Linked DNA regions of Mus musculus. The protein of the gene in region 1 interacts with the protein of each later gene in a pairwise test. Links are inferred from orthologs where the notes say so. Each region holds a gene or a part of one and is shown in the gene's direction. Other genes may lie near its edges. The genes, in order: Rel, Exosc5, Plekhn1, Tstd2, Tssk3, Nck2 and Neil2.

Region 1 (4,088 bases):
AATTTTTTATGACAGGATAGTATATATTTTAATTATCCAACCCCCCCCCCCCCACACACACACACACACTTTGGCGTTCTTTGAAGCGCATGTAGAGGTAAGAGGACAACTTTTGGAAGTTGATTCTGTCCTTCCATGGATCAAACTCAATTTGTCAGGCTTGGTAGCAAGCGCAATTATTCTCTAAGCTATCTTGTTGGCCATGCAAGATGATATTCTCTATTTCCCCTCCATTACTTGTTTTAGTCAGTAAATGACTGGAGAACGTAAGAGGTGGAGCCAGATAACCCTGAGTTATTTCTGTTGTTGAGACAGTCCACCTACCTCAGCCTCCCGCGTGCTGGGAGTGCAGTGCGCTAAACGGGGCTGGATAATCTTAAGCTTAAATCGTGCAATTCCTTTCTAGAACTCTAAAGTATGGACAAGCTACTCAGCTTCTCCAAACCCCAATCAACCCTAATACTCGTGTATACAATGACATGCTAATACATCATAGACTAAGAGAACAGGTGCGTATTAGCAACTGAAGGCAAACAAGATTCCGCCTGACCTGTCAAAGCACCAAAGTTCGGTCCAGGCCTCAGGCCGTGGGTATCTCGGCCAATCTCTGGACGTCGTGTACATTTATACAGAATGGGGTTAGCGGCCTCGCAGTGCAGCTGAAAAACTTTGGTAGGTAAAAGACGTAATGTAGATATAGAGGGAAAATAAGGCTGCGGGGGTCCCCGTATGCAAATCTGCGCCTTACTGCCGAACGCGGGCGCTGGCGCTTCCGCACTTCCCCTCCAGAGCACCCGGACAACTCTCTGGCGCGGGGGCGGAGATTTGCATGTGCGAAATCGGGAAGAGGGGGAACCACCGGTCGAAAACCCCGGGCGGGCCTCGGGCGGCCAAGGAGCGCGCCCGGTGCACCGCCCGGCCCGCCTCCGGCCGCTCGGCCAGCATGACGTCACGAACACGCCCCTCGGCTTTAAGCGGCGCTCTCAAGGACTCTGGAGGAGGGGGATTTCTCAGGGACCGACGGCTTCTCACGCGCGGAGTCGTCGCTGCGCGCCCTCACGGAGCTCCCGGCGCGAGCGTGCAGGCTGTGGTGGCTCTGGAGGAAGTAAGCGCACTGGCCCGCGCGGGGTCGCGCGCCCGCCGCGAGGCTCCGCCCCCCGCCCCGGGTAGGCGGTGGCGCGAGTGACGTAAGCAGCGGGAAATCCCCCCCCCTCCCCCCACGTTCCGCCGGGCGGTCCGCCCCGCCCCCTGCCCCTGCCGCGGCATCCTGGCAAGGCGACGCCAGGACACTAGTGACCGGAGCGCGAAGATTCGGGGGTGGGAAGGTGTGAGCCGCAAACCCAGAGGAGCCGGGAAAGAAGAGGAGGCCCGGGGGTGGTCCGAGGACAGGCGTCCCGGCTGCGGAGGCTGCTCAGCCTCCTCACTGGTTGGCTGACTGACGGGCTAGCTGGCTGACTGCCTGCCTGACCGACTGCCTGGCTGACTGACTCACTGACTGACTGACTGGCTGCCTTGCAGCCTCGGGCCGGACGCTGGAAGCTGCAGCGAGCGGCGCGCGGAGCCGAGCCATGGCCTCGAGTGAGTACCGGGGCGAGCACTCGCGGGTCACGGGGAGGAGCTGTCGGGGGCTCCGTTTGGGGTTAGGACGGTCTGCCTTTCAAGTCTTCTCATCTGGCAAATTGTCAGCCGTTTGAAAAGTTGCCCGCTCCGGGGTTTGCGTGTGAAATCAAAGCGGCGCACTGTAATCTGATCTTCTCCTAATAGCCAGAACCTTCGAAATTCCCAACGGTGTGCTTTTAGGATCACAGGGGGTAATCTCAGTAAAGGAGAGCAGAGAAGCCTCGCGTTTAAAGACTCAGTGGTATGGAGACCCAGTTTTACATTTTTGAACAAAAAAGAGGAACCTCCGGACCTCAGACGAGCTTTCTTTTTTTAAGTCCAATCGTGCTAGCGGCTGACACTGGTACAGAATGTGGCGTGGCTGTGAAAGTCCTCAGTGGCGTTTTAATTCGTTCCAAGCGAAAACACTACCCCCGCCCCCACGAGCTAAAGATGTTGCTTGTCTAATTTACCGTGTAGAGACCTCGATCCCTTCAACCCCCAACCCCAAACCTGCACGCGCGTTTTGTTAGCAGCAAGAGGACGAGATTTGATTATACTTTAAAGTAACTGGTAGGGTTGAAAATGTCATCGTTTAATGTCAGTGTTTTATCTGCCACTAGTAAGTTTTGGATCATCTGCTTTGAGGGGGACATTTATAAGAAACAGTTTACAGGACAGGGGAGTTTAGTATGACAGTCGTACTATATGTAAAGCAAGCACTTGAAGCAGCTGAGATGGTGGTGGGAGCTAAAAATGACACCTTCTGTCTGTAGCAGGACGCTGACCCTTATCTTCCCAGTGACCCTCAGTAGAAGGCAGCCGACGTCTGGCAGAGAAGAGGAAGTAGAAAGCTTAGTGAACTCTTTAAGAGTTGAGCAGAACAATATCATAACTCCTGCTGTAAAGGAAACTGGGGTGTTTCACATGACACTTGATTTCAGTTTGTCTGTGGTTTTCATGAGAAAACAAGTGTAGTTTAAAATATTTCAACTTTCTCTTTACCCATTTAAATGAAGCCAGGCTTTCAGATGCTCTAGTAAATTTGTAAATTTAACTCATGTTCTGATTAGAAGCACAAAAAGGCTTTAAGTATTTAATTCATTGGTAATCAGAAAGAGATTTTTGTATGACATTTGTAAAGAGTGGCAAGCTTTGTTAAAACAGTTCTGTCCTTGTCTACCTAATAGAATCTTATTATATAGTGTATGAATGCAATACTTGAATTTTTTTCAACAGAAAAGTCATTTATTAAAGAACTGTAAGACAGATATGATTTTAAAATGTAATACAATTGCAATTTGCCTAAGGACATATATTTTGTGCTGTTATAGAAATGATTCCAAAAGTTAAAGTGGGGAACTTTTTAAAAGAAATGGCAAGTTTTAAGGATTTAGAAGTTGGGTTGGGCTTGCCCAGCTTCTGTGAAGCCCTGGGTTCAGTTCTCAGTACTGTCAGAGAAAAAAAAAAAATCCCAACAAACATAGAAAACAAATCTGCAAGTTGTAGTATCATTATCTTCTTGCTTTTTGATCTTTTATCAAGGGTTGCACTAAATGAGACTACTTAAAATACACCATGTCATTTAAATTGTAATTCTGCTATTTGAAGTTTCTAGGCAAAAATATAGTTTAAAGGAGTCTGGGTACCTTATATCAGTTATAAAGACCAAATAGAGAAAAATTATGAAATAAATTTAAAATTCCCATTCCCTTTGAAATACTAATTTAAAAGCAACAAAACTGTTTAACTTATGATTATGTAATTTAGATCCTTTTTTTTGCAATATAGTACTGAAACCTAGGAAAGTATTCATATTGATTACCAAGCATTGAGATCATTTGTTCATTCCTCTCCGATGTCATATGTAAATAGGTATGTGTAATTGAATAGGTGGTGCTTATAAATGTAAAGTGTCGTAGATAATAATCTCCTGGGCAGAATTATATAAATGTTGTGAAAAGACAGGATTTTATATGATGATACTAATTATTGTTCAGGTAAATTAGCAAGTTAAGACTTCCTAGCTAGCCATTAAGCTGTTTTTCATTGCCTTTTAAACAATACTGTGCTTTGTTCTAGCTTTTTGATAAGATTAATTATAGCAGGCAACATGGAAAAAAATGTTCCTGATCAAAGATCTGCATATTTAAGCAGTCATTATTCAAACAATTGTATTCTATTTAAGTTAGCTGTCTTGTGTCCATATCTAAAAATTTTCACTATTTCCTAAAAAGAACAAAGTGGAGGGAGGTGCACAGTTGCCTTGTAAGATACATACTATTTTACTAATGATTAAGATTGTCTTTGGTGAAATGTACTTTAAAATTTAGAAAGTTTGTATTTAGTCACATTTTTTTTCTTTAACATGATTCTGCTGTGTCACATAACAGGAAGTATAGGAAGGAATTATTTTTGTGGACCTTACTACTCACCAACTTTTTGTATGAATTTCAAGATAACCTTTCCCCCCCCCCAATAAAAGTGAA
Region 2 (3,190 bases), on another chromosome or scaffold:
GTCCCTAGTGCCTGAGGACAGAAGAGTACGATCTTCCCAAGAACTGTGGTTACATACAGTTGTGAGCCATCTCTCCAGCCCCAACCTCTGACCGACTTATACACATACATTTTATCGATTTGGAGCTGTGCTGTAAAGTGTAGTGGGCATTGGGAGTTACAGTCAGAAACATGGAAACTGCTGTTGAATGCAGTGCCTTCACATCGTAGGTGGCCTCTCTGACGCCTGTGGACGTTAGCAAAGTCACACGAGGTCTCCAGACCCATTCATAACCATTTGGGGGAAATAAGTAGAAATTAAGACCCCCTACACATTCACAATCTTTATTGTTTGTCCTTTTAAAATGTATTTTACTAATATATTTTAATTGCATCTAATAACTGTTTTCTGCTTGGCTGGCTTATGAGATGTTCTCCCGTAGCTCAGGGTAGCCCCAGACTTACCATTGGAGCCAAGGATGATTTTGATTTCCTGATCTTCCTGTGTGTCTCCCAAACACTGGGATATGTATATGCGTGTGTGGGCGAGAGCTGTGTGTGCGAGTGCCCATGAAGGCAGAAGAGGGTGTCAGTCCCTTAGAGCTGGGTTTCGTGGTGGTTGTGAGCAGCCTGATAATGGGTGCTGAGAACTGAATTCTAGTCCTCTGGAAGAGCAGTGTGCATGCTGACACACACCACCAGCCATCTCTGCAAACCCCAGCTACCTCTAAAAATTAACCAGTGGCTGAAGTCTGTGGTAAGCTCTGCACCTTCTGGCCAGTGTCTTATATGTTTCAAGTGAACTGTGTCTCTTTAAAGTTGGCATTTATTTCATCTTCTTGTGTGATGTTGGGAGACTGAGGGCCTCCTGCTTCTGTGAGCCACAGTCACCTGATCTTCACAAACTTACCATGAGGAAGGTACTTAGCTGCTTAAAGTTAAGAGAGCAGAGGAAAGAAGTGCTAAGTGCAGCACAGAGCGGCCAAGGCCTCCCTCTTTCCCCCAGGTGATACCTCTGTCCTGGCTGGAGTCTATGGGCCGGCCGAGGTGAAGGTCAGCAAAGAAATCTTCAACAAGGCCACCCTTGAAGTGATCCTGAGGCCGAAGATCGGGCTGCCTGGTAACTGGACTCCACTGAGCCCCCCAAAAGATCCAGTCTGTTGGGACCTCATCTGACCCCTCGATGCTTGCTGTGTCCAGTCTCTGCTGCCCTGCTCTCCTCCCTCTTTGCCCAGCTTTTGATTCTGCTGCACTGGAATGGAATCTAGAGCATCAGGCCTGCTGGGCAGATGCACTTCCAGGAAGCCACAGTCCCAGGCTCTCCAGGGTGGAGTCCGGTCAAGCCCTCTGCTGCTGAGATTAGGCCTCCCAGATCCTCACTGGTGGTCTCCAGACAGGAATTCCAGCTCTGAGCCACACCATTAGCTTTTCCCTAGTGAATTTAAGGCTATGTGGCTAGGCCATGTAGCCAGCCCTGTTAACTCTTTTTTTTTTTTTAAGATTTATTTATTTATTATATGTAAGTACACTGTAGTTGTCTTCAGACACACCAGAAGAGGGAGTCAGATCTCATGGTTGTGAGCCACCATGTGGTTGCTGGGATTTGAACTCGGGACCTTTGGGAGAGCAGTCAGTGCTCTTAACCGCTGCTGAGCCATCTCACCAGCCCCCCTGTTAACTTTTTGAGACGGGGTCTCAAGTCCTCTGAGCTGGCAGTGAGCTCTCTTTATAACCTAGGCTGCCCTCAAATTCATGATCCCACTGCCTAACCTAAAGTCTCGAGATTACAGACCTGTACCACCAGACCCACCCTCTCTTGAGCCTTTTCTTTCTTCCCTTTTTTGCCTTCCTCGCTCTTCCTTCCCATTAACTTGTTTTTCTGCCCTTTTACCACTTCTCCCCATGTGTCATGGGATGGGCCTGCTCTGATGAGAGTAGATATGGCCAGTAGCACAGGACATGGGCACCTCTGGGTATTCCTCCTTGGGTGGCTGGCTGGTAGACCCCTGGCCAAGGTTGGCCATAGCAGGAGTTACTCAGAAACTTGCAGACTCGCCCGCTTTCTCCTGGGAGTGTGTACTCCGACCCGGACTGAGGCTGACAGCCCCTTCCTGAAGTCTCCCTCCAGAGGCTGGACCAAGCAGAGCAAGACGACGGGGTGGAAGGGAAGAGCCTGACCGCTTCCCGTCTCCCCAGGCGTGGCCGAGAAGAGCCGCGAGCGGCTGGTCAGGAATACCTGTGAAGCTGTGGTTCTAGGGGCCCTGCACCCCCGGACCTCAATCACCGTGGTGCTGCAGGTGGTGAGCGACGCTGGCTCTGTATCCTTTCCCAGCCCTCTCCTCCAGGAAGTGGCCAGAACCTCCCCTCCGGCTTCCGTACCCTCAGCCACCCAGGACCTGTGCCAGGCAGCAGCTCCTGCAGAGCATACAACAAGGCCATGGTCAACAAGATGGTTCAGTGGAGAAAGGTGCTCGCTGCCAAGCCTGACGGCCTGAGTTCAGTCTCCAAGGCTCATATGGTAGAAGGAGAAAACCAACTCCCATAAGTTGTCCTCTTAACTACCACGTGAGCACAATGGCACACACCTGCCCCTGAACACACACAAGTAGATGAATGTAATTTTTAAAAATTAGCAAGCAGGGCTTACTGTGTGCTGCTGGGCCTGGCACTGAGCACCTCATGATGTTAAGTCATTTAGTTCTCACTGGGCTTGTATTGGGTAGCACTGTAATTCCTATGTAAATCCCAAGACAGTGGGCTCAGGCTCTCTGGTTCGAGAGCCCTGCCATGTGTGTTTCTCATGTTGCCTTGTTTCAGGTGAGGGGCAGTGTTTGGTCTAAGGGACCAAGATGGAAACAAGGGTGGGACTCAAGCTCCAGGCACGTCCCACCTCAGAGCTCCATTATCTAGCATGGTAGCTGCCTACTAGACTCCCCGGGGGTGGGCCTGGCTTTGCCAGTAATGTCTTTCTTGTGTGGCTTTGGGATATCTCTCTATTTGACCCTGTTTCACTCATGACACTTGGTATATCCCTTAGTGTACATACCTGTTCCCTAGCATTGTCCCATCTAACACAAAGATATGAGACATGGAGAAAACCATTTGATCTCATAGCTGGGAGAGAGTTGGTAAGACCTGGTGTGGAGCAGCGGCAGCCACTTGGCGCCAGAACCGCGTAACCATCCTGCCACGCCGCTGCTCTGTGATGAGTC
Region 3 (2,278 bases), on another chromosome or scaffold:
CAAGTCGGCAAATACGTGGGAGCCAACATCCACGGCCGGGGCTGTCTCCCAGCCTCTGAGACCAGTGGCTCTGCTCTCCCCTAGGACATCAGTGACTGCTATCTAGAACTGTTCCCTTCCCACCTGTACTTCCAGGCCCATGGTTCTGAGGGACTTACATTCCAGGTGAGTGGCACAGACGGAGGGAGGGAGGGACTGTGTCCCCTGGGAGTCCCTGCAGCCCCTCCTATACTATCCTGTGGCAGGGACTGCTCCCACTGACGGAATTGAACATCTGCCCGACTGATGGGTCCAGAGAACATGCCTTCCAGATTACAGGTGTGTGGAGAGAGCTGGCCTGGCCACAACTGGACCAGGACCTCTAGACCGGGCATTGGAGGTCCACTTGCAGCCCTTGGAGAGGAGACTTTCCTGTGGGCTTCTGTGAGTTCTGAGCTTGAGCCCTCGCCCACTTGACTCTTCTGCCCCTAGGCCCGCTGCCTGCCCCACTCCTTGTTCTCTGCCACAGTGAGGCCGAGCTCAGCCACTGGCTCTACCACCTGGAAAAGCAAATGGCTCTCTTGGGTCTACAACGATGCCACTCGGCACCCCCACAGGTCAGTAGCAAGAGCCTGTGAGTCCTCCCCCACCCAGACTCTCTGCCTGCCTTTGACCTATTCTTTCTTCCTCCTCAGGGGTCTCTGGGAGATAAACCCCCCTGGACCCAGCTACGGCGAGCATATGGGTGTGGTTCCATGAGCGGCGCAATCTGTGCCTCAAGGGTCAAGCTGCAGCATCTGCCCTCCCAGGTAGGTGGGGAAAGACCTGAGGTGCAAGGAGATGGGGAAGGATGCAGGAACAAGTCAGGCTGGACTCCGGGTGCCCAACCCTACTCTGCCCTTTGACCCCTTACAGGAACAGTGGGACCGGCTTCTGGTACTATACCCAGCATCCCTGGCCATCTTCTCTGAGGAACCAGAAGGCCTTAGCTTTAAGGTTGGCCCTCTCCACATATACCTGACCAGGAAGGTGCCCTTTCTGGGGTGGGGGTGGAGACTCAGAAACCTGTATTTCAGGGCCTGTTGGGACAGAGCACAGGGCTCCACCTATCTGGCCCCACTGCCCTGGTCAGTCTGGTCCCTGCTCTGGCACAGAGCAGGAGTCTCCACCCTCTAAATCCCATCTCATCCTGCAGGGACATTGTTACTCTTGGAGTGGGTGGAATGGAACAATCTACTTCTTGGGATCTCTGGTGCATGTTGCCCCTCTGAGCAGCTTCCATGCATCATGGAAGGGGGGGAGGTGCGTGTGCATGTGTCTAGGACTAAAGCATGACACTGGTGTGCACTCACAGTCACTGAAAATCAAAACAAGGGGGCCTCCCTCACAGGGGCCGGTCCCTATTAGCATCTGCCTACAACTGACATTAGCTGGTGAAGATCCAACAGGAGGTAGAGTGGAGATGTTCCAGAACAAAGCTGCCTGGCCTTTCTCAGAGTGTCATCCTGAGTTTCCAGCCCAGCTCTAGAGATCAGGATGGAAGAATAGGGCCAGGAAGAGGCTGAGATGACCCAGATAAACACCTAGTCCTCGTTCTACAGGGGGAGCTTCCACTAAGTGCCATCCATATCAACTTAGAAGAGAAGGAAAAGGAGATTCGCTCCTTTCTCATCGAAGGTAGGGTCCTACCGAGAACTAGCCACTGCTTGACCGGGCTTCTGGGAGGGGTGTGAGTTTGGTGGACGCTTCATCTCTTTGCTCTGTGGGATGAGAGATGTACTTGTCCTGTCAGACCTTAGTTCACATATCTGTGTGCTAGGCCACCTCATCAACACCATCCGCGTGGTATGTGCCAGTTATGAGGATTATAGCCAATGGCTGCTGTGCCTCAGGACTGTCTCTCGCAGGGATGGGGCCCACCTGCCACCTGGCCCAGAGAGTTTCCCAGGATTACAGAAGCCCACACAGGTGAGAAGTCAGTGAGGTCCCTGTAACTCGGGTGTGGCAGTGATGCAAACTAGGAGCAGGAAGTTAGGTCCAAGCGGGGATAGAGAAGGAGACAGACCCGGCCACTCACCTTACTTCTGCTACTTAGCTTGTAGGTAGAGGCCGAGGTTCACTCTCTTCCAATGGACGGAGCAGCTGGAAATTAGAGTGTCCAGTGTTCCCCACCAGCCAGTCCCTCCCTGAGTCCTCGGTGCCAACCACTATAGGCTTCCCTGCCCCTCCTGTACCTGTAAGTACCTAAAGGAATGACATGGGAGTGGGATTAAAAAAAAAAGGGGGGGACTTTTGTCTC
Region 4 (3,500 bases), on another chromosome or scaffold:
CAGCATTGAGTGCCTCACAGAGCCTTACGCCCACAGACAAAAGGAGCTCCCCCAAAGACTGTCTCACTCCTAGTCAGGAGGTGTCTGCTTGGCTTCCTGATGTGAGCCATGTTAGCCCCCAGGAGCTGAGGAGGTAAGTTTTGCACTTTGTAGTTTGGTTTACATTTAAAATATTTTCAACCACAATGAGATACTACAGATAGCCCACTGAAATAGGAAAATGAGAAATAGCAGCCTTGGTAGATACAACTGACATGGGGAGGCAACTGAAGGGCCCAGGCGTTGCTAGGGAGAGTACAGAATTCTCCTTCCCAGCGATCCACTCCTGGGTGTGTGGCCAGCAGAAATAAAACACACACCCATAAAAGCTTAAACTCGAATGCTTGTGGCAGTTGTTGTTTTTTTTTAATTCATTCTTTTAATAGCTGAGTAGTACTCCATTGCATAAATGTACCACATTTTCTGTATCCATTCCTCTGTTGAGGGGCATCTGGGTTCTTTCCAGCTTCTGGCTATTATAAATAAGACTGCTATGAACATAGTGGAGCATGTGTCCTTTTTTTTTAATATTTTTTTTTTTAGGTATTTTCCTCATTTACATTTCCAATGCTATACCAAAAGTCCCCCATAACCTCCCCCCACTCCCCTACCCACCCACTCCCACTTTTTGGCCCTGGCGTTCCCCTGTACTGGGGCATATAAAGTTTGCGTGTCCAATGGGTCTCTCTTTCCAGTGATGGCTGACTAGGCCATCTTTTGATACATATGCAGCTAGAGTCAAGAGCTCCGGGGTACTGGTTAGTTCATAATGTTGTTCCACCTATAGGGTTTTTGTGGCAGTTTTATATGTAATAACAAAATGTTGGAAACAACACATTATTTTGTATGCTAACTAAAAATAAACTAGTTGTACTTCCCAATGTTAGCGGCTGGAGGAATGGTCCATTGGGATAAATGCTTGCCACATAAATGTGAGAACCTAAGTTTCAGTCCCCAGGACCCATTTAAAGCCAGCCGTGGGAGTGCTTGGGGTCATCCCAGTTCTACAGCAAAATGGGAGGCAGGGACAAGAATCCCCAGAAGCTCCCAGGCCAGCAAGTGTTGGGTACTCAGCAGTGAAGAACAAACACGGTGGAAGATGAGGACCAACACCCAAGATTGTCCTTGGACTCCCACATACACATTGTGACCTCCGTGTGCCTTCATTCATACAAGAACACATTCCTACCATATACATACATCATACACACAGGCATAAAGATTTAAAAAAATAATGACTTAAAAAGACAAACTGGAAACAACTGTAAGTAGCCATAGCAGGAGAGTGAAAGGATAGGTGGAGTCATGACAGAACACTGCTGCCTAGAGTGGTGGAGCACGGCAGACACTGATGAATTTACAAATATGCATCTAGACAGACCAATCGTCCATCAAGATTATTGGGAAAGGCTGGAGAGATGGCTCATGGTTAAGAACGCAAGCTACATTTCCAGCTGATGCAGGTTCCATTCCCAGCATCCACTTCCTGGATAACTACTGTCTGTGATTCCAGGGGATCTGATGCCACCTTCTGGCCACCATGGGCACTGCAAATACAGACAAGCATGAAGGCAAAACACCCATACACATAAAAATACTAAATGCATAAAATGTTTAAAAAATTAGAGGGAATACAATATTCTATATACTGAATTTTTATACTCTTTTCTGGTCTCCTAAAGTAGTGATGTCTTCTCAGTGGTTTAGTGCTACTCTGTGAGCATGCTGACATAGAAAAGTTTGTCTTATGTGGCCAATAATAACACGTCTATAGATAAGTGTACTACATGAAAAAATGGAAGTAAAATGTTTTTCATGGTGAGCCAGTCAAACCAGATACTGCCTTGTGATTGAGGATAGGCCACAGTGGGCTCAAATTCCCAGCTTGCCTGTAAAGTAGGGTTAATAATACCTGTCTCCTGGTGTGAGAGCTAAGTGAGGACAGGGAAGCGAGTTTGCTTTTTGTAAGAAGTCTGGTGCAGATACTGTACTATGTAGAGAAAATATGAAGAGAAGTGCTCTTATGTTAGGAGACTAAAGATAGGAGGGAGGCAGAGGTTGTTCCAGCTTCATGCTCTCCTGCTCTGCCTGGGTGCACTGGGAACTGTGGCTCCCTGTGGCCCTGCTCTCCAGTTCTGCCTGGGTGCACTGTGAACTGGGGCTCCTTGTGTCAATGCTCTCCAGTTCTGCCTGGGTGCACTGTGAACTGGGGCTCCTTGTGTCAATGCTCTCCAGTTCTGCCTGGGTGCACTGTGAACTGGGGCTCCTTGTGTCAATGCTCTCCAGTTCTGCCCCGGTGCACTGGGAACTGTGGCCGTGCTCTCCAGCTCTGCCTGGGTGCACTGGGAACTGTAGCTCCTTGTGGCTCCAGTTCTGCCTGGGTGCACTGGGAACTGTGACTCCCTGTGGCCGTGCTCTCCTTCTCTGCCTGGGTGCACTGGGAAGTGGGGCTGCTTGTGGCTCCAGTTCTGCCTGGGTGCACTGGGAACTGTAGCTCCCTGTGGCCGTGCTCTCCTTCTCTGCGTGGGTGCACTGGGAAGTGGGGCTCACGTGGCTCACATGCTCCCTCCTCTGACTTTCCTTGTGTAGTGGCCAGGGTGACGAGGAAGGAGAGGTGCTCCTGTATTACTGCTACTGTGACTTGGAGGACCCCCATTGGGTCTGTGCCTGGCAGACAGCTCTGTGCCATCACCTGCACCTTACAGGCAAGGTAAGCCCTGCTCCAGATGTGCCCTGCAAGCCTCTTCTTGTCTCCTTAATCTTGGATTGTAGGAGCTGTGCTCTTTGAGAAGTCTTCACATGGGGGTTCTCGAAAGGAGGGAAACCCTGCTTGCAGGGTAAAGAATAAACCAGCTCTTGATATGTTGCTTATAGACCAGGCCTCAGTCACCCTATACCTAAAGGGTCAAATAGTAAATATTTCAGGTTTTGTTACCTTTTTTTTAATTCATTGTTGTTATAGATTGGAAACATTCGTGGGCATGGCTAGGTTCTGATACATCTGTCAGCTGAGACAGGGAAATGTACTGAACTCCAAAGCCTCTTATAGATTCTGCATGTTTGATTACAAGTCACACCTTGGTTTTCCTAGAATCAGGTCTCTGGTGATCTCAGGTGTGACATTTACTCCTTCCCTTCTGTGCGGCCCTCCCCTCCTTGTCAGGCCTCCTGTACTCTGAGCGAGTGCCACTCCAGTGCTGCTCCCTCAGCAGTACAGTGTGCAGGGTCCTCACCATGCCCTGCCTTTGCTGCTGCTTAAAGACTTCCTGCAGTCTGAGAGGAGAGCCTGTCTCCCTTGTGGGGGGGCCTCGTGAGGTCAGAAGCTTTGCCTTCACTGGGGCATTCTCAGCGCTGGAACAAGGTTCAGCACTTAACAGGCTCTGTAAGGATTGGAAACTGTAGAATAAAGGAAATTAAAACTGCATGTTTGTCCGGTATCTATGAGTGTGTGCTATGAGAGG
Region 5 (3,581 bases), on another chromosome or scaffold:
GGAGGTGGGCAGGGAAGTGGAGGCGGGTGGAAGTCTGGTCTAAGAGTGGAGGTAGCCCAAGAGTGATACTGGCTGGGTCCGAGAAGTCGGTGGGCCCGATCCGACGGATACACATACACGGCCAGCCCGGAATGGAAAGAACAGTTTATGCTGTGCTTTATTAAAATGTGCATCATTCTTTTATTTTAAAATGTGCATCATTGTCTCGTGCTCGGCGCGTGCGACCTCAGCGTGGTGGCCCGCGGCTGGCCTCGTCCGTCCCGGCTCCTGCAGAGCTGCCGTGCGCAGGCGCACTCAGGTAGCACGGGCCCGGGGGCTCCCGCCCATGGCCAGGTAGACGTCGATGGGCACGTGCAGCAGCGTCAGACAGTGGCAGCCCGGGCAGCGTCGGAGCGGCCTGGCGAAAGCGGCAGGCGACAGGGGGCGCAAAGTGTTGGGGCGCGCCAGGGGATGCGCCTGGGATCTTTGGGGGTAGGGCCCTGGGGATGGCGATGGGGCAGGGCCGAGGGGTGGGACGACGGACTCACCTGACAGGGTTTTGATCCGTAGCTACAGGCTCCGGGCTATCCTGGGACTCGGGGGCGGAGGCAAGGCCAGGGGAGTCTCCGGCCTCAATGGGGAATCTTCGACCCTGTGGGGTCTCCTGGGCACTCATGTCCAGGCCCCGGGGCACTCTGTATAGGAGTGGCGGTCAGGCAGCTCCGGGCCCCTAGATGCTCCCTGCCCGTGCCCGTCTCCTGTGTCGTGGCTTACCTGCCAGAGGCCGAGGCCGGTCCCAGGCTGGAAGCAACTGCCCGAGCCCTGGCCACGGGAGGACGCTCCGGTCCAGGCGGAGCCTGGCAGGTGTCTGCTGCGCGCCCGGGCCCCAGCGTCGAAGGGGAGGACTGCATTGTGACCCCGATCTCTGCGTGCTGACCTCACACAGCCTGTTCCTCGCTGGAATTCTTAGGCAGTCCCAGAGCGTTCCGGCATTTAGTGAGGGCCCGGGCCTGAGGCCAGAGGGCTCTGGAGATCGCACCTTGGTGACCAGTTTGCACTCTTTCCCAACAGCTGGATGGGGACTTCGGAGGTGAGGGCGACCTGCCTGGAAGCGGAGCCCACATGGAGAAGGCCCGCCTCCCTGACCTACGCGGCCACCCAGGCCCGTTCCCCAGCATCGCTACCACTCTGCGCCTTGCTCAAGACTGACTTAACCCATGCTGGATTTGCTGGTGGTGGCGAGGGAAAGTAGGGACACTGCCCATGTTGTCTGAGGGTCACACAGCATTTACATCACAATTGGGCAGGAGTTTAAAAATGTCTGGTCCTCTCCCTCCCCACCACCTGTGGCTGTGTCCAGACGGAGAATGTTCTAGCCCTGGAGGCAGCTGTGAATGAAGTCCTTGGGGGGAAAAGAAGCAGGCCGAGGGCGATGGTGGAGTAGAGCTGCCTCGCAGAGGCAGCATGAGCTGAGAGGGTGACAAGAAGGAGGCGCTACACAGCATGGAGGACTTTCTACTCTCCAATGGGTATCAGCTGGGCAAGACCATTGGGGAAGGGACCTACTCAAAAGTCAAAGAAGCATTTTCCAAAAAACATCAAAGAAAAGTGGCAATTAAAATTATAGACAAGATGGGAGGGCCAGAAGGTGAGCTGGGGTCCTTGGGAGGAAGGGTGGGCTAGCCAACACGGGTAGGCCCTTTCCTCAGAGCATCTCTTCCTCCCTTTGAGTCAGGATGGCAGAAAGCAAGTCAGATTCCTGCCCTAAATAGAAGGATGTAGGGAAACCAGGATCCTCACACCTTTCCAGAGCCACAATCGTAGCACAAGAAAAAGAAAGGGTCCTAAACCGGGCGTGGTGGCATGCGCCTTTAATCCCAGCACTCAGGAGAGGCAGAGGCAGGTGGATTTCTGAGTTCGAGGCCAGCCTGGTCTACAAAGTGAGTTCCAGGACAGCCAGGGCTATCCAGAGAAACCCTGTCTCAGAAAACAAAATAAAAAACAAAACAAAACAAAACAAAAGGTCCTCAGTTTTTCCTGTCCCAAGAGGCGTTGGCCAGAAGACAGCAGGAACTGGTACCCTGCAGGTGGAAGAGGGACAGGACAATAGATCCCTGGAAAGAATAGTGAGATGCAATAGCTTTGAACTTCCCAAATCCCTCATCTGTGGTCTCACAGGCTGCTGGGAGGAGGTTCCAAGGATGAGCTAATCATGAAAGGAAGGCAATACTTGCTGCTAGAGACACCCGAGACTGGTCAGGGAGTCAAGAAAGAACACCTAGACATGGTAGGTGTCTGGAAGCTGGAAAGCAGGAGCCAAGAGGGAGGAACCAGGACGTTTTGATCTTGATTTTTGTCTCCCCACTTTTTCCCTCAGAGTTTATCCAGAGATTCCTGCCTCGTGAGCTCCAGATTGTCCGTACCCTGGACCACAAAAACATCATCCAGGTGTATGAGATGCTGGAGTCAGCAGATGGAAAAATCTACCTGGTGATGGAACTGGCTGAGGGAGGGGATGTCTTTGACTGTGTGCTGAACGGAGGGCCACTTCCCGAGAGCCGGGCCAAGGCCCTCTTCCGCCAGATGGTTGAGGCTATTCGCTATTGCCATGGCTGTGGCGTGGCCCACCGGGACCTTAAGTGTGAGAACGCCTTGTTGCAGGGCTTCAACCTGAAGCTGACCGACTTTGGCTTTGCCAAGGTGCTACCCAAGTCACGCAGGGAGCTGAGCCAGACCTTCTGTGGCAGCACAGCCTATGCCGCCCCTGAGGTGCTACAGGGCATACCCCATGATAGCAAGAAAGGTGATGTCTGGAGCATGGGTGTGGTCCTGTATGTAATGCTCTGTGCAAGTCTACCTTTTGATGACACAGATATCCCCAAGATGCTGTGGCAGCAGCAGAAGGGGGTGTCCTTCCCCACTCATTTGGGCATCTCAACCGAATGCCAGGACCTGCTCAAGCGGCTCCTGGAACCAGACATGATACTCCGGCCTTCAATCGAAGAAGTTAGTTGGCACCCATGGCTAGCAAGCACTTGATAAAAGCAATGGCAAGTCCTCCCCAATAAAGTAGGGGGAGAAAGCAAACTGAAAAAACCCGCTTCTAAAATGGTGATCTATATTTTACACTTAAGTCCACTTCTCCCATGGCTGACTTCCACCTCCTCATTGCGGCTCCACAGGCCTCTCACCTTCCCTGTAAAGACCTTCCTGGAACTAAGGGCCTTATTTAGATTTTTCTTTTATTAATGGCGCTCAAATGATTTTCATATAGGTGATTAATTAGCACTCATTACGTTAGGCCCTAGCAGCATCAGCAGGCCGGGAGAAGTGAGGAGAGAAAGGTGAGCCCGTGGAACCACTCAGGTGCTACAACTCGCTTTCCAGATAAAAGCCAACGCACCTGGAATGCAGGCCTGACCTCCTGACTCCTTGGCTTGGTGAGAAGCTGCTTGGGCCCAAACCTTTCTCAAACCAGAGGCCAAGCTGAGTCAGGAAGAGACGGGGCATCCTTAGCACCCAGGCTGGATCCCACCTATGAGGCCAAAAGTATGCTTGCAGCTGTGGGAGCCTCTGCCGAGGGGGACAGAAACATCCCCGGA
Region 6 (4,012 bases), on another chromosome or scaffold:
ACTATTGGTTAGAGTTCTGCCTTCATTGTTGTAAAGCTAGATAGTAACAAAGATGAGGTCTGTAACAAAGAACGGATGAAGCTAGCATCTCCGACTGGAAGAGACTGTTGGGTGTGCTGATTTTGTACAGGATGCCTCCTAGTGCCCTCGTGTCAGGCTACGTGCCAGGTACTTAACATAGAAGGCAGGTAAACATCTCATGTGATAAAGCCGAGGAAGTTGTGAAACACCTGTGTAAGGTGACACAGTTCAGGAGCCTACGGTCAATGGCTGCGAGGACTATAGCCAAGCTTCCTCACGTTACTTATGCCTGGGAACTTCCTATAAGAAGGCAGGCAACTTTTCTTTCTTTCTTTTTCTTTTTTTGTTACGTAGGGTGAATTGTTTCTGCCTTAATAAGGAGGAAACAAGGGCTAGGGTTGAATCTCATTAACATAAATGTGAGTCGTCCGACCTGAAAGCGGAATTTATTTGAATATCAGGGGTTCCTTTGGGGTATAAGGAGCGAAGGAGCTTGGAGAAGAAACCTCTGGATCCAGTCCTTCTCTTCGATCCAGGGTTCTAGCTTTCCAAGTTTGCTTATAGGTTAGCTACTACTCAAGTCTGGGAGAGCAAGGTTTCCTTCTAAAGCTTTCTCAGCCTCCTGTACTAAAGAATTCCTGGGCTCTAATAAACTGGCCAGGACGCTGCGGAGGCAGCTGAGGTCGGGTTTCCTCTCCTCCCCCACTAGGAAGTGGTCCCGCCTGGAGGTTGGGGGTGGGGGGGATGGAGTAAAAAAGTGTCTGGATGGGAAAGTAAATAAATGCAAGGCAAATAAATAAAGAAAATGCCCACAAGCAATTACTGGGAGGAAGTGACATTTTTATGTAAGTCACTTTTCTGACAGACACCAGGCCTGTTTGGCTGAGAGTGCCGTGGGAATGCTTGGGGGGCGGGGTAGGGAGGTCGCTGTAAGGCTCCCGACGCACAGCCGGGTGCGGAGACCACCCGGTCTCGTGGGCTGCAAGTGGCACCTCCTTATCCCTAGCAGCCCCTCCCGGGTGCCCCCAGCTCCAATCTAGAGCGGGTTACGGCTTGAAGCCCCCAGGCGGCGCTTTCCCGAGGCCTGGCTGGGACTCCCAGGTGGGTCCCCCGCCCCGCGTGCGCCGGGCTGGGCCGGCCCCTGGGCGGCGTCACGGCAGCCAGGGAGGAGCGCGGGCGGGGAGCGCGCGGAGGCGGGCGCTGCGCGGGAGGGTCGCCGCCGCGGATCGCAGGCCGGTGCGCGCGGCCGAGCGGGCGGCGGCGGCGACGGTGGTGGTGAGGAGGGCTCGGCGGCAGGCAGGCTCGGGGCTCCCGGGCCGGCGGGGTCCGCCGGGTCCAATTGCGTCCGCTTGGTGGCGGGAGGAGGGAGCGGTGCAGACAAAGAGCGGCATCTGGGCGGGCGCAGCGCGGCCGCCGCCCCGGGACTCGCGCTGCTGCCCTCCGGCCTCGGCGTGCACTGTGCGGCGAGGTAAGGCGATGGCGGGGGCTGCAAACTTGGGCCGGTCCGTGGAGTTGGAAGAGAGGGGCGAGCGGGCCGCGGCCGCCCGGGGAGGGCCAGGGAGCGCGTACCCCTGCGTACCCGGCCGGTGCCCTCAGCCCCGCCGCGGCCTGGCGTCCCCGGGCACCCGCACCTCGGATACACACACCTTCCTGCGAGCCCTCGCCTCCCTCTGCCTGGGGCTGGCGTGGGGGTGGGGCGCCCTCCGCGGGCGGACTCCGGGGACCAAGGACCCAAAGCCCTCGGGAACACTAGCAGCCCTGGCCTGTGGGCGGGCGTGGGACCGAACAGTGGCCAGGTCGCCGGGCGCGCGTGCCTGGGAAGAATAGCCTGGGATCTGAGGGCCACAGCGCTAGGAAGCGGGAGGCTGCGATGGCCGGGGAGAACTTCCAGTATTTAGAACTATTCGTGATCCGGCACAAAGCTGCTGTCACGTTCCATAAAGGAGGTCCTTGCCTCGGCGCAGGGCGCTTTTGTGCCTGGTTCCTTCCAGTCCCTGCGCCCGGTCCCGCATTTCCAAGACTTAAACCTCCTCAACCAAAGTTTTTCCCGGTTGCTCTGCCCCCTCAGTTTATTTATTCAGGGCGATTTAAGCAAGTGGTTCTGCAAGAATTTGATGTGTGACTTTTAATGCCCCGGTGGCACCTCCCTTTTGAGCGCTGTTAGCTTGGCATTGTGTGGAGAGGTTTGATTTGCAAAACGCTGTTATTTATACACAACAGCGATCCTCCCGGAAGGTGTGCGCGGGTGGTGGTTAATGGATAGCAGAGGTGACTTACAGTAGTATTGTGAACAGCTTGGGGACACAGCTGGGTGCCAAGTGGAGTGGGCCCTGCCACCCTAACCCATTCAGGTTGGCCGCTTCCTCCTTATTTGGCTCTCCTTATTTTGCTAACAGGTTTAAGGCCAGTCTTGCCAAGTTTGCGTCTGTGTGTGGGATGAACAGGTCCGAGTTTGGGCTGGAGGTGCACAGGCCTGCTCCTTGGTTGACCCAAAAAGAAACAGCCCGTTGGCCAGTGGGCGTGGCTTGCTGGTATCCTCCCCTGGAGACTTCTCTGCTCCTCTCCCAATACAGGCTTTTCTGCAGAGATTTTGAGGAGGAATGAGAATAATTTTGGGTGTGTTTCCAGCCTGGGTTTTTTTTTTTTTTTTTTTTTTTGGTATAGTTAGCAACTGTGGTTTTTCTAGTCTAAAGGTCACTACTTTATCAGAACATCTCAACTGTGCTGTGGGCACTCCCTCCATTCACTTTCCAAGTGTTTATAGATACAGAGGTAGAAACCGGACTTTCTCGTGCATGTGCCTGGTTTATGTAGCGAAGGCAGCCAGTGAACACAATGGAGAAAGTGCACTTTAGACAGATAAGGTTTTACACCTTCGGGTCTTTCCTAAGTGACCACAAGTGACAATCCTCCCTTAAACTTTCTCACCTCCTGGTAGGTTAGCGTAGTTTTGATTGAAGAACGTAAAGGTCCCAGTGACCTGAAGCTGAAATGAGAACTTTGTGCAGCTGTAAAGCTTTGACTTACAGCTTACTGCCTGTCTTGCTCTCAGTTTCTTACACGTGCTTGAACAGAGCCCCAGTTTCAGGGTTGGAAGTTGCTATGTGAGCTCTGGACACTTGATAGGCGATTTGCCCACCGATGGAGAGACGACTGACCCCCTTTAAAATGGGTCGAACTTATAAAAGGTGGTTTCCAACTCCTTGTAGGCTCTTCAGTCCATTTCCAGGCTTTCAGTTTTGCTTTCCCCATGGGTCCTTGCTTCAGTCTTCTTCCTCCCTTTCTCTTTGATCCGGGCTTATTCCTGACCTCTGTCTTGAACATTGGGGTACTGAACATTGCTGACAAACAGCAGCACCCAGGTGTTTGAGAAATGTGCTCTCATCCTTGCTAAATCTCTCCAGAGCTTTCCTTGTTGGAGCAGACCGAATGACCCCTTGAAAACAGCCCGATAGTCACTGATTGCATAGTGACCTGTAGTCCTTTATTTGATCATTTGCATTAGCTTAATTTGCCCTGGCAAGACTGGGCTTGGTTGCTTTGTAGGGCACACATGCTTCTAACTGACTGGCTTGCAGTGTGCACTGGGGCTGATGAGGCTCGTGGAAATGATTTTCTGATGTTCATAATGAGCCTTAATGACTGAAGAATTCAAGACTGCTTGTTGCAAGTGCAGAGCAGTGTAGGGAACAGTGGTTGGGGAAACTTGTAAGCTAACATTTCTTACAAAAGGACCGGGAAGCTTCCCATAGAGACTTAGGAAATTCATTTTCCCATCCAGAGGGACTTCAAATGTTGCTTTGGAATTGTTTCTCTTTCCTAAAAAAATGAGTGATAGAAACATTTCTCAAGGTGTTTTCAAAGGACATATGTGAAAAAACAATGATGCCATTTGTGTGCTGTTCTGTGTAAGTTAGGCAGCCTTTTAAAACAAGCTATCAGAGGTATGCAGCCATGGTGTTTTTTGTTTTTTTTTTGTTTGTTTGTTTGT
Region 7 (3,500 bases), on another chromosome or scaffold:
TGCACACTGGGATTACGGGCATGTACCTACCTCCTAGCTTCCCGAGGTTGTCTCTGCCCTTCCCGAGAACACTAACTAGGTCAGACACGGACTCCGGTTTTGCAGCTTCCAGTGTAGGGGTAGCTCTGGTTGGATAAGCTATCCCTAGAATGAATCCCATTATTTTCTTACTGAAGTGTGTTATATGTCTTTTCTTTGCTTAGGGGCACATACATGCAGGAGTTAGTTAATCTGGCTTGAAACTGGAAATGATGCTCTTTGCCGCCATTTCTTCATCTTCTCCATAATGAGCTCCTCCCCTCCCCCCAACTCCCAGCTCTGGTCCCACTAACCTTCTGGATTCAGATTTTCAGCTTTTCATTATCAGCATGGATTGCTGCAATGTATTAGAAAGCAATGTATATTCATATTTTACTTACTACCTCTTGGCCCTGAGGTATTTATGATTCTGATCATAGGACCTTAATTTCTCAGTTTGATCCAGACTAGTATAGAAACATAATGTGCAGCTGACCTGACGGCATATGGGACAAGTAACTGTGTGTAAATGTGACCCACATAGCAGTCACTATACACACATGTGACATGGTTATATAGCAATAATTATATGGTGATGTACATTGATAGTTGCATGTGTGAGTAGATTATGTTGTGGTAACTATATATACTTATGGACTGACTCTACAGAGGACTGTTTATGAATATATGCGTTGACCACACAGTGGTGGTTGTAATGTATGATCTCATTATGTGTGAGAACACTATATGTATGATCTCTTCTGTCTCCTCAGGCTGGTACTCCATTTTAGTGGTGGTGGCTTCCTGGTATTTTATAACTGCCAGATGTCATGGAGCCCTCCCCCAGTGATTGAGCCCACCTGTGACATATTGTCTGAAAAGTTCCATCGAGGACAAGCCTTGGAAGCTCTAAGCCAGGCTCAGCCTGTGTGCTACACACTCTTGGACCAGAGATACTTCTCAGGATTAGGTATGACCTGTGTGATGGGAGGAGCCCCACGGAGTTGATTAATGGTATAGTGACTCATCTGTAGGGCAGGCAAGACTTAAGGACTACTATCCCAGTTGTGCCAACACTGTTGGTTTTAAGGTTGGTTTATCCCTTGATCTTAGACTCGGGTTAGTTTAAGAAGATCCTCACTTCTTTCTGTGGTGTAATATTCACAACAAGATAGTGTTTTCTGCTCTAGAGGCAGTGGGACCTGGGAAATGGACCTGATAAATGAGGAAGATGAAAGTTTCATGCAATAGCCAACTTTATTCAAAGCATCAGACAATTTATACTCTGAGAGTTAAGAGAATGGTCACCTGAATAAAGCTCTCATGAGTTCAGTCTGTATACAATCATAAGGACAAGCTACATGTGGCAAAACACGTTTTTCCATAAAGATATTGTATTAGTCAGAGTTCTCTAGAGTCACAGAAATTATGGAATGTCTCTACATATTAAGGGGAATTTATTGTAATGATTTACAGTCTGTAGTCTAACTAACCCAACAATGGGCAGCTGTGAATGGGAAGTCCAAAAATCTAGTAGTTTCTCAGTCTCACAGACTAGTTGCTTCAGCTGGTCTTCTAGAATCCTGAAACAGTAGGTTCCAACAGATGTGCTGGCAAATAAGTGCAAGCAGGTGAAAAAGAGTGAATCTTCCTTCTTCCAATGTCCTTTATAGGCCTCCAGCAGAAGGTGTGGCCCAGATTAAAGATGTGTATCACCATGCCTGAATCTGGAATTTACTTTGTTCCTGGCTGACCTTGATCTCAGAGATCTGTTATTCCTAAATCTCCTGGGTTTAAAGATGTGTACTACCTTGCTACCTTGCTTAAGCTTTTTAATGGCCACTATGCCTTAAGATCTCCATGTTGAGATCCAGGTCAGAAACCTGTATCTTCCAGGCTCAAGATCACAAGTGTGCCCTCCATTTCTGGATTGTAGTAATCCCAGATGTGGTCAAGTTGATAACTAGGAATAGCCATCACAGATCTATATATACAGCCTGGTGGTGGTGGAGCACGCCTTTAATCTCAGCACTTGGGAGGCAGAAGCAGGTGGATTTCTGAGTTCAAGGCCAGCCTGGTCTAAGGGAGTGAGTTCCAGGATAGCTAGGGCTACACAGAGAAACCCTGTCTCGAAAAAACCAAAACCAAAACCAAAAATAAAAAAAAAACCCACAAATCTATTAATACATAACAGCCAGTTGTGTGAACAACAAAGTAAACTCTCCCCTATCTGATATACCTGGGAAGAGCATGAAAACATATTCCAAGAATAATACCACGTTTTGAAGAAACTGAGGTCACAAGACTCTTGTCTGGTTTTCTTGGAGTTTTCTCACAAGCACTCAGAATTGTCCTCGAATGATTCCATTCTTGGACCATGTTCTGACATGATAGGACTGTCACAGGCCTTCTGATGTGATATCAGTATGACCTCCTGACAGAGGGATCACGTTGTGTACCTGGCACACTCTAAAGCCTACAGAGCATCTAGAAGGTTCTGGGTTAAGTCATGCTGGGAATGGTTGTCCTGCAGGCCATTGGAAGAGAGGGAGGAGAATGCCCACTAATAGGTACTGCTCTTGGGCACTGGGGCTTCTGATATCGAAGCAGAGTCAGGTATCAGGTCAGCTCCAGGCTCTTAGAAGCCAAGAGAAAGAAGCAGGTCTCTGCTCTGGAGAATAGATTAGTGAAACTGTGAGCATTTCCAGCTGAGACAGGGAATGCTATAGTTCTTAGTACGGGGAGGGTTATTTTCTGCCCACAGGAGAGCAATAAGGGGCACCACAACTGGCTGTTAAAGCAGTTGCTATTGGCAAAGCTGTGTGCATATACAAAGTGTGACTTGCCTGCCGTGAGTATAGTTCATGCTGAAAAGATGTGAAAGTGCTGTGCTCTCATGGGAGAACCAGTGGAGTCTGTTTCTGTGCCAGAAGGATGAACAAGGTTTCCAGCAGTGGCTTTTGGATGTGCGCAGAGACCTGACTACACAATGATACTGGTGAGAGCCAGTGTGAGTCAATAACTCCAGGGACTCGGGCACAGTCCTGCCCTTATGCTGTTCCATGGGATAATCACTTGTTAGCTTTCCCTTTTCTTCAGATGAGGAAACTAAAGCAAAGGGCACCTCGCTGGTGAGCAGCGAAGCTGAGATGAGTCCAGGTAGGCCTCAGCTGTAACCGCAGTGAGATTATGAAACTCTTGGGGAAACGTCAACTGTTTAGACTGTGGCCCCCATGTACCATTGAACTTACTCTCCTCCGCTTAGCAAGGCCATTGCTCAGTAACCAGCAAGATGGACTGAACTCATCATCACCTGAGACAGATTGTGAGCTAGTGAGCTCAACACTTAGAAGACAAGGTGGGGGGGGGGGGCTCAGCAGTTTAGCCTAGGCTACATAGCAAGTTTGAGGCTTTCCTCCCCTCACGTCTCCCTTTGTTTTCAGGGAACATCATAAAGAATGAAGCCTTGTACAGAGCAAGGA

Evidence for each region.
Region 2: the proteins of Rel (region 1) and Exosc5 interact in binary tests that used the Homo sapiens proteins (3 or more experiments, as listed by UniProt). The two-hybrid records come from large-scale screens. The link is inferred for Mus musculus from reciprocal best matches to the Homo sapiens genes REL and EXOSC5.
Region 3: the proteins of Rel (region 1) and Plekhn1 interact in binary tests that used the Homo sapiens proteins (3 or more experiments, as listed by UniProt). The two-hybrid records come from large-scale screens. The link is inferred for Mus musculus from reciprocal best matches to the Homo sapiens genes REL and PLEKHN1.
Region 4: the proteins of Rel (region 1) and Tstd2 interact in binary tests that used the Homo sapiens proteins (3 or more experiments, as listed by UniProt). The two-hybrid records come from large-scale screens. The link is inferred for Mus musculus from reciprocal best matches to the Homo sapiens genes REL and TSTD2.
Region 5: the proteins of Rel (region 1) and Tssk3 interact in binary tests that used the Homo sapiens proteins (3 or more experiments, as listed by UniProt). The two-hybrid records come from large-scale screens. The link is inferred for Mus musculus from reciprocal best matches to the Homo sapiens genes REL and TSSK3.
Region 6: the proteins of Rel (region 1) and Nck2 interact in binary tests that used the Homo sapiens proteins (3 or more experiments, as listed by UniProt). The two-hybrid records come from large-scale screens. The link is inferred for Mus musculus from reciprocal best matches to the Homo sapiens genes REL and NCK2.
Region 7: the proteins of Rel (region 1) and Neil2 interact in binary tests that used the Homo sapiens proteins (3 or more experiments, as listed by UniProt). The two-hybrid records come from large-scale screens. The link is inferred for Mus musculus from reciprocal best matches to the Homo sapiens genes REL and NEIL2.

The regions. Positions count from the first base shown.
Region 1 is NC_000077.6:23,768,170-23,772,257, reverse strand, and holds the start of Rel (proto-oncogene c-Rel), read left to right. Parts: upstream 1-1,288; 5' UTR 1,289-1,568; coding exon 1,569-1,578; intron 1,579-4,088. UniProt on the Homo sapiens protein: Proto-oncogene that may play a role in differentiation and lymphopoiesis.
Region 2 is NC_000073.6:25,662,153-25,665,342, forward strand, and holds part of Exosc5 (exosome complex component RRP46), read left to right. Parts: intron 1-984; coding exon 985-1,098; intron 1,099-2,095; exon of another isoform or gene 2,096-2,174; coding exon 2,175-2,296; intron 2,297-3,190. UniProt on the Homo sapiens protein: Non-catalytic component of the RNA exosome complex which has 3'->5' exoribonuclease activity and participates in a multitude of cellular RNA processing and degradation events.
Region 3 is NC_000070.6:156,223,235-156,225,512, reverse strand, and holds part of Plekhn1 (probable pleckstrin homology domain-containing family N member 1), read left to right. Parts: intron 1-84; coding exon 85-165; intron 166-245; coding exon 246-318; intron 319-471; coding exon 472-596; intron 597-674; coding exon 675-788; intron 789-894; coding exon 895-975; intron 976-1,580; coding exon 1,581-1,656; intron 1,657-1,798; coding exon 1,799-1,947; intron 1,948-2,074; coding exon 2,075-2,215; intron 2,216-2,278. UniProt on the Homo sapiens protein: Controls the stability of the leptin mRNA harboring an AU-rich element (ARE) in its 3' UTR, in cooperation with the RNA stabilizer ELAVL1.
Region 4 is NC_000070.6:46,128,476-46,131,975, reverse strand, and holds part of Tstd2 (thiosulfate sulfurtransferase/rhodanese-like domain-containing protein 2), read left to right. Parts: coding exon 1-133; intron 134-2,628; coding exon 2,629-2,749; intron 2,750-3,500.
Region 5 is NC_000070.6:129,488,508-129,492,088, reverse strand, and holds Tssk3 (testis-specific serine/threonine-protein kinase 3), read left to right. Parts: upstream 1-1,318; 5' UTR 1,319-1,482; coding exon 1,483-1,627; intron 1,628-2,157; exon of another isoform or gene 2,158-2,266; intron 2,267-2,356; coding exon 2,357-3,018; 3' UTR 3,019-3,081; downstream 3,082-3,581. Other genes in the region: protein FAM229A, read right to left, coding at 295-397, 528-674, 754-890. UniProt on the Homo sapiens protein: Serine/threonine protein kinase required for spermatid development and male fertility.
Region 6 is NC_000067.6:43,444,539-43,448,550, forward strand, and holds the start of Nck2 (cytoplasmic protein NCK2), read left to right. Parts: upstream 1-1,212; 5' UTR 1,213-1,489; intron 1,490-4,012. UniProt on the Homo sapiens protein: Adapter protein which associates with tyrosine-phosphorylated growth factor receptors or their cellular substrates. Maintains low levels of EIF2S1 phosphorylation by promoting its dephosphorylation by PP1.
Region 7 is NC_000080.6:63,183,526-63,187,025, reverse strand, and holds part of Neil2 (endonuclease 8-like 2), read left to right. Parts: intron 1-791; coding exon 792-988; intron 989-3,461; coding exon 3,462-3,500. UniProt on the Homo sapiens protein: Involved in base excision repair of DNA damaged by oxidation or by mutagenic agents. Has DNA glycosylase activity towards 5-hydroxyuracil and other oxidized derivatives of cytosine with a preference for mismatched double-stranded DNA (DNA bubbles).